Linked DNA regions of Sus scrofa. The protein of the gene in region 2 purifies or fractionates together with the protein of the main gene of each other region. This does not show direct contact. Links are inferred from orthologs where the notes say so. Each region holds a gene or a part of one and is shown on either strand. Other genes may lie near its edges.

Region 1 (4,510 bases), on a different chromosome or scaffold from region 2:
AGAGTCCTTTCGTCGCTTTCAACTCACCCTGCCATCCCTTTGATGACATCTTGGGAACCACAGGGCCCTTGCTCTGGGGACCTGCCGGGGGGGGGGGGGCAGGATAGGGCCGCCCAGACTTCTCTGTGGTTGGTGGCATCTCCTGCTCCTGTCGGCCCCAGTGACTCAGGGTGCTGTTTCCTCCACCCATGTCAGCACCGCCTCACAACTGCTTGCCAAAGGGTGGCTGGGCAGGGGGTCGGCGGGTCCATGGGGTGTCGTTTTACTCCGAGAGGAAGAACGAGTGAAGGGGCCTGCCTCAGTCTGGCGGCAGGTATGGGGCCCGACCCAGCCCACCTCTGAGCGACCTTGGAGAAGCCAGGGCCTCTGGCTTCTGTTAACTCCTCCAAAAGGGGACACGCCCAAGACCCCTGCAGCACATGCATGTTTGCTGGGACCCCTGGCTGCTGGGAGGGCTGGAGGGAGGGGTGGGGTCTCTGGTCCGGGACACCTTCAGAGCTGGTCCTCCCTGAATGTGGCCTGAAGTGCCACTCTTCTGCCCGTTTATTCAGGGACTCGAGGAAACTGCTCTGGCTCCGGGACCTTTGGCGATGGAGTATTTGCTCAAGGTCATGGAGAGTTTAGTCAAGGACTAAACACACACGCTCCTTCCATCCGGAGTCCTGGGAATCCAAAGACACTCCCCCGGGTTCTAGCAGCCCAGAGGCCTTCCTTCGCCCACTCTCCTTTGCCACACGCGGTGCTGCCCAGTTGCCATGGACCCAGCACCAACAAACAGGAAAGTTGAGAGGAGGCCCCCTCCCTCACCGGAAACTGCCACCAAAACTTGTGCCACTCACTTCCTCCTGAATCATTTGGGGTTTAGCCGATCATGAAGGAGGAAAGAAGGCCAGCCCATGGTGTGACGTCTCTGGGTCTACCCCACCCTAGAGCTTGCTCATCCCATGAGCCCCAGTGACCCTCACAGGACAAGGAGTGGTGGCCGTCTTGTCATGCCTCCTGTGTGCCAACCGCTTTCTGCCTACTCATAACCATCCAGCCACAAGACTGGGTTTCACACTGTGCATGACCCTTTGCCCCCCTCCCTGGTGCCCTGGCATCAAGCCGTGCCCCGTGTCTGTCGACAGGCGCAGCCGTGAGAGGCACAGAGCCCTGGGCTTTGTCATGGGAAGCCTCCAGCAGGCTGCTTTCGAGGCAGGAAGGTGCTGCAACCCAAACACCCTCAGCGTCATTGAGGCCCGGTGTGGGCTTGGAGAGCGTTCCTGACGGACGGGACCCGGGGGCCAATGCCCTCTGGGCCCCCTGTGGCAGCACAGGGACAGGAGCCCAGGAACTGCACAGCAGCCTGGGCTCTGCAGGTAGATGCAAATGCCAAGCGGCAATCTGGAGGGTAGATGCAATGGCCCTCACGCGGGTGTCCAAACCCTGCAGCAGCATGGGGCCTGAATGCGGTGTGGCTAGCAGAGCAGGAGCTTGCTCTTGGCATTGCAAGGCGGATGGCGTTTTTTGAGGGGGAGGAGAAGTTGCAGAGAAAGAAGAAATCCTGACACGACAGACAGCTGTGGCCTGAACTTGGTGTTCTGGCTCCTCAGACGTGGATGTATTAATTTCCATAAATGCTAAGAGCCCATTTCCCCAAGAGCTATTACTTCTGTCATCTCCCTTGGATGTCTTTCAACCCCGGGCAGACAAGTGAAAGAGAGGAAAAGGCAGCCTCCCCTGGTGGGTTCCCTGGTCCCCAACCCTGTCCCCATCAGGCAGTTCAGGACTGTTTGCTAATGTGGCCCCTCTAAATGCAGGGTCAAGACCTCCTGCCTTCAGCCTGACAACCAGGTCCTTATCCTGCCAGGAGGTAAAGAGAGTTACCAGCCCCAAAAACGCTGAATCACAAAGTGAGGCTGAGCAGGAAAGTGGGGGTTGGGTGGGGAGGGAGACGGTGGACAGGGGGGGGAAAGTAGGGAAGGGTGCTAAGGGACTTTCCACCTGGAGCCCCCCCAAGATGCTCTAGACAGACTGCAGACCCTACAGGAGCCCTCAGGACAAATGCCAAGAAGAGCAGAGCTGGGGTAGGCTGCCTGGATGGGAGGGTGGGAAGGTGGACAGGTACACTACAGCTACTGCAGCAGGAAGCCCTGCAGCAGCTGGGTCTCTGTGTCCTGCGACCTTCGTCCTGCGGGAGCAGGAGCAGGAGCAGGTAGGGAATGTGGGGAGCAAAGAAGCTGAAGATGGGGTAGGGGCATAGGGACCAGGGTGGGGACGGGTGTATAGGCAGCCAGACGAACTGGTGCAGGAAGGGAGCGCCAAGGTCTTGGAGAGCAGGGCAAGGTGGGAAGAGGGCGCCCACGGGGGAAGACCTACAGACTGGGCACGGAATGGGTGGGAAGATGGTGCCAGGAACCTGGAAGGAGAGGCAGCGTGAGCCTTCAGGAGCAACAAGGAGAGGAGAGATGCGGAGGACTTGGACCAAGAGCCCTCCGATGGGGATGCGCAGAACCGGGAGAGGAGACGGGAAGGGGGATGGGGCAGGGGGAGGCGAGGCTGCGGTAAGAGGAGGGGGCAGAGACGGGACCAGAGGGATGAAGTTTGGGGCAGGGGTCGGGGATGGAGCTAAAGGGTCGGGCGGGTTGGCAGAACGGGCAGGCAAGAGAGGACGGGATGGGGGAAGGGAGATGATGGAGAGGGAAGTGAGCCGGCTGGAGAGGAGGTGAGGATGGAGGCGGGAGCGGCGACGCGCTGGGGAAGAGGAGATGGAGAGTCGGCGCGGGCCTCGCGGGTGCCCGCCGTCGCTCTCCCGGCGCACTGCCGTGTATTGCGCGGAAGGCCGGGGTCTCCCCCTGCACTCACCTGGGGGGGCTCCAGCTCCGGATCCTCTGCCCCGTTCCGGATCTTCCTTCCCGCCCTGCCCTTGCGACTTTAGCGCCCCCGAATCCCGCTTGCTCCACCAGGTTCCGCCCGCAGCATCTTCACCTCGTGGGACGCCCGGGGCCACGCCTCTGCGAGGCTCTCATTGGCTAGCCTTCACGCCAATCAAACCCCTATTGGCTGAAGGCTCGCGGGCAATGCAAATCAGGACGAGCCCGCCGCCGCGCTGATTGGCTAGCGCTCGCGGAGCGGAGCCCCTGGATTTGGGCTCTGATTGGTCCCACCGCTCTGCTGACGACAGCGACTGGGGGCGGGTCCTTCCCTTTCCAAGGCTCCTCCGGCGAGTGGCAGCAGATCGGGCGCTTCTCGGCCGATTTTCTGCCTGCTGGGCCTGCGGCTCTGGTGGGCATTGGCCGGCCGCCGGGCCCCTGGATCCATCTGGGGTGCATTTCCTCGAAAGCGTGGGCCTCGAAGCCCCGGGGCGGGCGCGGCCGCGGCTGGCGCGTCTCCTAGGTAACGCCGCCCGCCGCGGGCGAAACCACTTCGGCTGGCGCCGTGGGGGAGGTTGGCCGCGGCCTGGAGGCGCGCTGGGCCGCCAAGCGGGCTGGGGCTTCCAGCCCGGAGTTGGGGTGCTTCTTGAGTCTCTCGGCGGGGGCCTGGTACCTGCAGGGCGCGGCAGTCGGGCGGGCGCGGGGTATGCCCGCGTCGGTCACACCTCCCCTCCCCCTTCGTTGACACTTGGTGCGGCCTCGGCCGCTGGTCCTGTAAGGGTAAGGGGGCTTTTGGGGGTTCAACCTCTGCACTCTGCCCCTTGACTCAGCGCCCCCTTTGCGGCCCTCCAGCTTAAGGCGAGCGCGGTGTGGCCGGCCTGGGATTGCTGAGATCACGGCGTTGGCCCTCATTTTTCTCCGGCCGGACCCGTGCTGAGGGTCCCTGCTTTGCCTGTCTCTGCTGGGAGCCTTTCCCGGTTGGGTGCCTGCCCGCTACTGGCCCTGAAGATCCGTCCCGGCGACGCCTCCCATTGGAGGTCTGGCCTTCTCTGGCCCTCGCAGGAGGCCCTGCCCGCCTATAGCCTCCCCCTGGAGCTGCTCTCGCCTTCCCCTCCGCTGTCCAGCCCGCTGATCCCCTGACCGCCTCTGAGCTCCGCACCTGGGCCCTTCACCGGGCCGGAATGGTCGCTCTCCTGCTTGCTTTTTAAGACTCAGAGGCCCCACCTTTGCACATCTCTTCCACGCCTGTCTCAATGGAAGACAACTGCGTTTGCAGACCTGGTCCTGCCTTCAGTGTGGCAGTGTGTCATTTTGGTTGAAGGACAGGAAGGAAGCCTGGCCTCTCGAGGCTGTGTGGTTGGAAAAGATGTGCTTTAGATGGCTGGATACTCGCCCAGGGTTCCAATCCAGGTCTCCACGACAGCGCCTTGTGGTTTTCATAGGTCACGACCATGTCCTTCTTGTGCTGACTCGTATCCTGTCTTTCTGCCTCCCTCCAGATACACCAAACCAGGGCAGGGAGCTGGGCTGCAGTGTTCAGGAGGTTTCCCAGGGCCTGGCTCATGGTAGGTACTCAAGAGAATATTCCTTGGATGAGGAATTCTCGGCAGGGCTTAATTCAACCTCCTCTTACTCTCAGGGAGGCTCCCCAAAGCTTT
Region 2 (4,262 bases):
TTCACCCCTCTGTCTTCGAAGCACAGAAGGGGTCCAGCAAAGAGATGATAGTCCAATCATGAGCTTTGCAAATTTTCTACCCTGGTCAAGGCAGCGTTTGCTCTGACTCCAGAACCAGAAACTGCAAGGGATAGACCTTTTTTTTTTTTTTTTTAATTTCCAAAAGATACATGAGCTCTAGAAGAAACTAACACTTGCCTCGACCAAGTAACATTTTATTTCCTGGGATAAAAATCAAGAGAATGAATTATCAGAAGTCTTCCTCCAACATCGATGCTTTTTGAAGAAAGTTACAAGAACTGGTTAAGGCGCACAGAAAAAGTTAGACTTGCTTTCTTCCAGAGCATTCTCTGCCCTAGACACAAAGCACCGAAATCACAACTCAGAAAAGAGAGAGGCTTGCAGATAACAGGAACCAGAACAGCCAGACCAGGGTCTCGGACTGTAATAGAAATATCACAGGAGAATGTTGCCATAACCTCCTCTTTCATAAATACAATGTATGTCTTGAAAATATATCCAAAATCTCTCCATCTGAACTACAGTACAAAAATCCACTCGCCAGCCATAAAAATAATATTTTCTCATGTACACAAATATAATTATATGTAAAGCAAATTTGGAACACAGGGATGGGGGGAGATTACCAATTCTCTGGGGATTGGGCTATTTAAAGCCATTTTTGTTTGGGTTATCCCTCTGCTGGGTCTAGGAAACTGGCTACAAATACATCCATCTCACAGTGCTCACCATTTCAACAGCTCCTGCGTCATGGAATGTGGTACTTTTTAAAAATAGGTGACCCTGGGTGTCATGGAAAGAAGAGGAAAGAAAAACTAGGGGATCAAGGAGACGCAGGAGGGGAGCAGTGAAAGAAGAAGGGGCGGACCTAGGTTACAGGGTGGGCTAGAAATACTCTTCGCCATGAAGTAGATCCCCAAGGTCAGGAGGCCCCCCGCTGTCCCCAGCTCTCTGCCAACTATCCACCTGCATCCCCCTTACAAATCTGTTTCCCGGCTGCTATCCAGGCAGAGGGCATACAGAGATCTCCGCAAGTCCACATTGCTCTTGGCCTTGAGGTTACACTTCTCTAAGGGGCAACTGCCCCTCCGGGATCCATCTGCATTATCCAGGGCCCCCACAGCCTTGCAGAGGGACCCCTTGCTCCAGCTGGCCTTCCGCTGGCCACCGCTGGCCAGTCCTGTCCCCTGGCTCTGGCTGCCCTGCTCTTCCTTAAGGGCTGCCTGCTCCTCGTGGTCCGTCTCCCTGTGGTAGAAGTAGTTGAAGTTGGAGACAATGACGGGTACAGGCAGGGCGATGGTGAGGACCCCAGCGATGGCACACAGAGAGCCCACGATCTTGCCCCCCACGGTGACGGGCCTCATGTCCCCATAGCCCACCGTGGTCATGGTAACCACGGCCCACCAGAAGCCATCCGGGATGCTGGAGAAGTGGGTCTCTTGGTTGTCGGCCTCGGCGAAGTAGACGGCGCTGGAGAAGAGGATGACGCCGATGAAGAGGAAGAAGATGAGCAGGCCCAGCTCCCGCATGGAGGCCTGCAGGGTCTTGCCCAGGATCTGCAGCCCCTTGGAGTGGCGGGAGAGCTTGAAGATGCGGAACACGCGGACCAGGCGGATCACTCGGAGGATGGCCAGCGACATGGCCTGCTGCCCGTTCTGGCCGCCCCCTCCCCCACCCCCTGGCTGCTGTTCCACCAGCTCGGTGCCCAGGGTGATGAAGTAGGGGAAGATGGCCACCACGTCGATGATGTTCATGATGTTCCGGGAAAACTCAGCCTTGCTGGGACAGGCGAAGAAGCGCACCAGAAGCTCGAAGGTGAACCAGACGACACACGTGGTCTCCACGATGAAGAAGGGGTCCGCCAGGGTCCTGGGCAGGAGAGGCGCCACTGTGGGACCTGAGGGAGGCGGCGCCGCCGCTGCCCCGCTGCCATTGGCCCCTGGGGCGGGTCCAGGGGGCTGGTGGTGCACCGGGGGATGGCGCAGCAGCTCGCGTTCATCCCTGAACTCAGGCAGGGTCTCCAAGCAGAAGGTGATGATGGAGATGAGGATGACAAGGACTGAGACGATGGCGATGGCCCTCGCGGAGCCCGAGCTCTCCGGGTACTCGAAGATCAGCCACACCTGGCGCTGGAACTCGTTGCGGGGCAGGGGCTTCTCCTCCTCCTTGATGAAGCCCTCGTCCTCCCGGAAGCGCTCCATGGCCTCGTCCCCCAGCTGGTAGAAGCGGATCTCATCCGCGAACACGTCCAGGGAGACGTTGACCGGCCTCCGCAGCCGGCCCCCGGACTGGTAGTAGTAGAGGATGCCATCGAAGCTGGGCCGGTTGCGGTCGAAGAAGTACTCGTTCCTCAGGGGGTCGAAGTAGCGCAGGCGCTTGGCGGGGTCCCCCAGGAGCGTGTTGGGGAATTGCGCCAGGGTGCCTAGCTGCGTCTCAAAGCGCAGCCCCGAGATATTGATGAGGACGCGCTGGTGATGGAGGGAGCCCGCGCCCAGCACCTGGTCCTCCGCCACGCCCAGGGCGGGGTCGCCATCTCCCTCCTCTTCCTCCGGAGGCAGCCACCTCGACTGCGGCAGCTCCTGGGGCGGCGGCGGCACCGGCCGGCCTCCCGGATCCGCGCGCCTCTCTGCTCCGCGGCCCCTTGGCTCCCGCTCCTTGGGTCCATCTCCGAGCGCAGCCGTCGGGGGGCAGCGGAGCTCTCCCCCTGCGGTGCCGGCCTCCCCTCCTTCCTTGACGATCATGGCACCGCCATTCTCCAGGGGCACCAGGGCGATCTCCATGGTCCGGGAGCGGGGGGCATGCTGCGCCCCTGCGGACTGACTCCCGCGCCCCCCTCACACCCTGCTGGGCGACCCGCGCCTGACGCCTCTTCTGCTGGCCGCCGGCACGGCTGTGGGGCGGGCTGGAGTGGCTGGCCGGGTCCCCTCGCTCGGTCCTGACGTCAAGAAGCCGCTGCCCTGCCCTCTGCCTCTCTGGGTTCTGGCAGCCCGTTACCAAGCAGCCAAAAGCCGCCTTCCAGCAGATGCAACCTCCAGCCGCCCGGCGCGGCCTCCGCCCCGCGCGGCTCCCCGCCCCCTGTCGTCCTCTCCTTCCCCCGCCTCCCCTCCGGGCTCAGAGGCAGCGGGAGTCTCCCCGGAGGGCGCAGCTGGGGCCCGAGCGAGGAGGGAGGGGCTGAGCGGGGCTCCGCCGGCGGTGGGAGGAAGGAAGGGAGGGAGAGAGGGAGTGGGGAGGATGGAGGAACAGGTTGTACCGAGAGCGCTGAAACTCCAAGGGCAACCAGATGAGAATAGCTCTGGATTTCAGTTCACCTGGGAAGCCCGCTGAGCGCCGATGGGCTCAGGGGGAAATGAATTGCCCTTGGAGGGATGATTTTGAGATGAGAGGGAGTATGAGAGAAGGCAGTGCTTTTTACGTTTCTCCCTTGGAGGAATAAAGGGTCTCTCTTCTTTGGGCAGAATTACAAACAGGAGGGGGCAGGATAGTTATGGACCTTGGGAAAAAAAAATGTATATATATATGTCTGTATCTCCAGATTGAAGGTGAAGCATCTCTTTTCCCATCTCCCTGCATACATTGGTACCAAAAGGTAACTGAGGGAAAATTTAGTGTGTCCTGCCGCTTAGTAAAGCCCCCATTCCCAGTGCAGACAGCGGTGGTCAGAGGGCAGATGCCACCCAGCAGCCCTAGGCAGCCAGCTGGGTCTGGGAGATTCGCTGCCCTGACGCTCACAACCTCGCTGCTCTCCCCACAAAGCCATTAGCAGAAACCATGAGCAGGGAAGGGGAGGAGGGAGAGAGAGAAGCTGGTGAGAGTGGTTTCTGCCTGGTGAAGCTGGGAGCCGGAACCAAAAGCACATCTGTGTAGGGAGTTGGGGTGGGGGCTCTTCAGGAGAGGGAGCCCCGGAGCTTGTGGAGTGCCCGGGGCTGGAGAATTCTCAGCAGTAGAATAACAATCCATACATACTTGGCTCTTTTGTTGTGTCAGGTCCATTTTCAGCACTTTACAAATATTGACTGGCCTATTCCCTTGGCAACCCATTTTCTCAGCAATGTTATTATCTCCACTTTTTAGAGACAAGGAAAATGAGACACAGAGAGATGGACTAACTTGCCTAAAGTCACACAGTTAGAACACGGTAAAAGCTGGGATTTAAACCCAAGCAAGCAGAGTTCAGGACCCTGTTCCTGTCCCTGTGCTCCTCTCTAGAAATGAGTCACCCCCTTTCAGATATAAGGGTAAAA

What was found.
Region 1: the proteins of KCNA5 (region 2) and KCNAB2 purify together in Homo sapiens (co-immunoprecipitation; 3 studies listed by BioGRID and IntAct, counting the BioPlex papers as one, with this or other methods). This does not show direct contact. The link is inferred for Sus scrofa from reciprocal best matches to the Homo sapiens genes KCNA5 and KCNAB2.

What each region holds. Positions count from the first base shown.
Region 1 is NC_010448.4:66,926,851-66,931,360, reverse strand, and holds the start of KCNAB2 (voltage-gated potassium channel subunit beta-2), read right to left. Parts: upstream 2,983-4,510; 5' UTR 2,845-2,982; intron 1-2,844.
Region 2 is NC_010447.5:65,439,135-65,443,396, forward strand, and holds KCNA5 (potassium voltage-gated channel subfamily A member 5), read right to left. Parts: upstream 3,074-4,262; 5' UTR 2,802-3,073; coding exon 999-2,801; 3' UTR 202-998; downstream 1-201. UniProt on the Homo sapiens protein: Voltage-gated potassium channel that mediates transmembrane potassium transport in excitable membranes. Forms tetrameric potassium-selective channels through which potassium ions pass in accordance with their electrochemical gradient.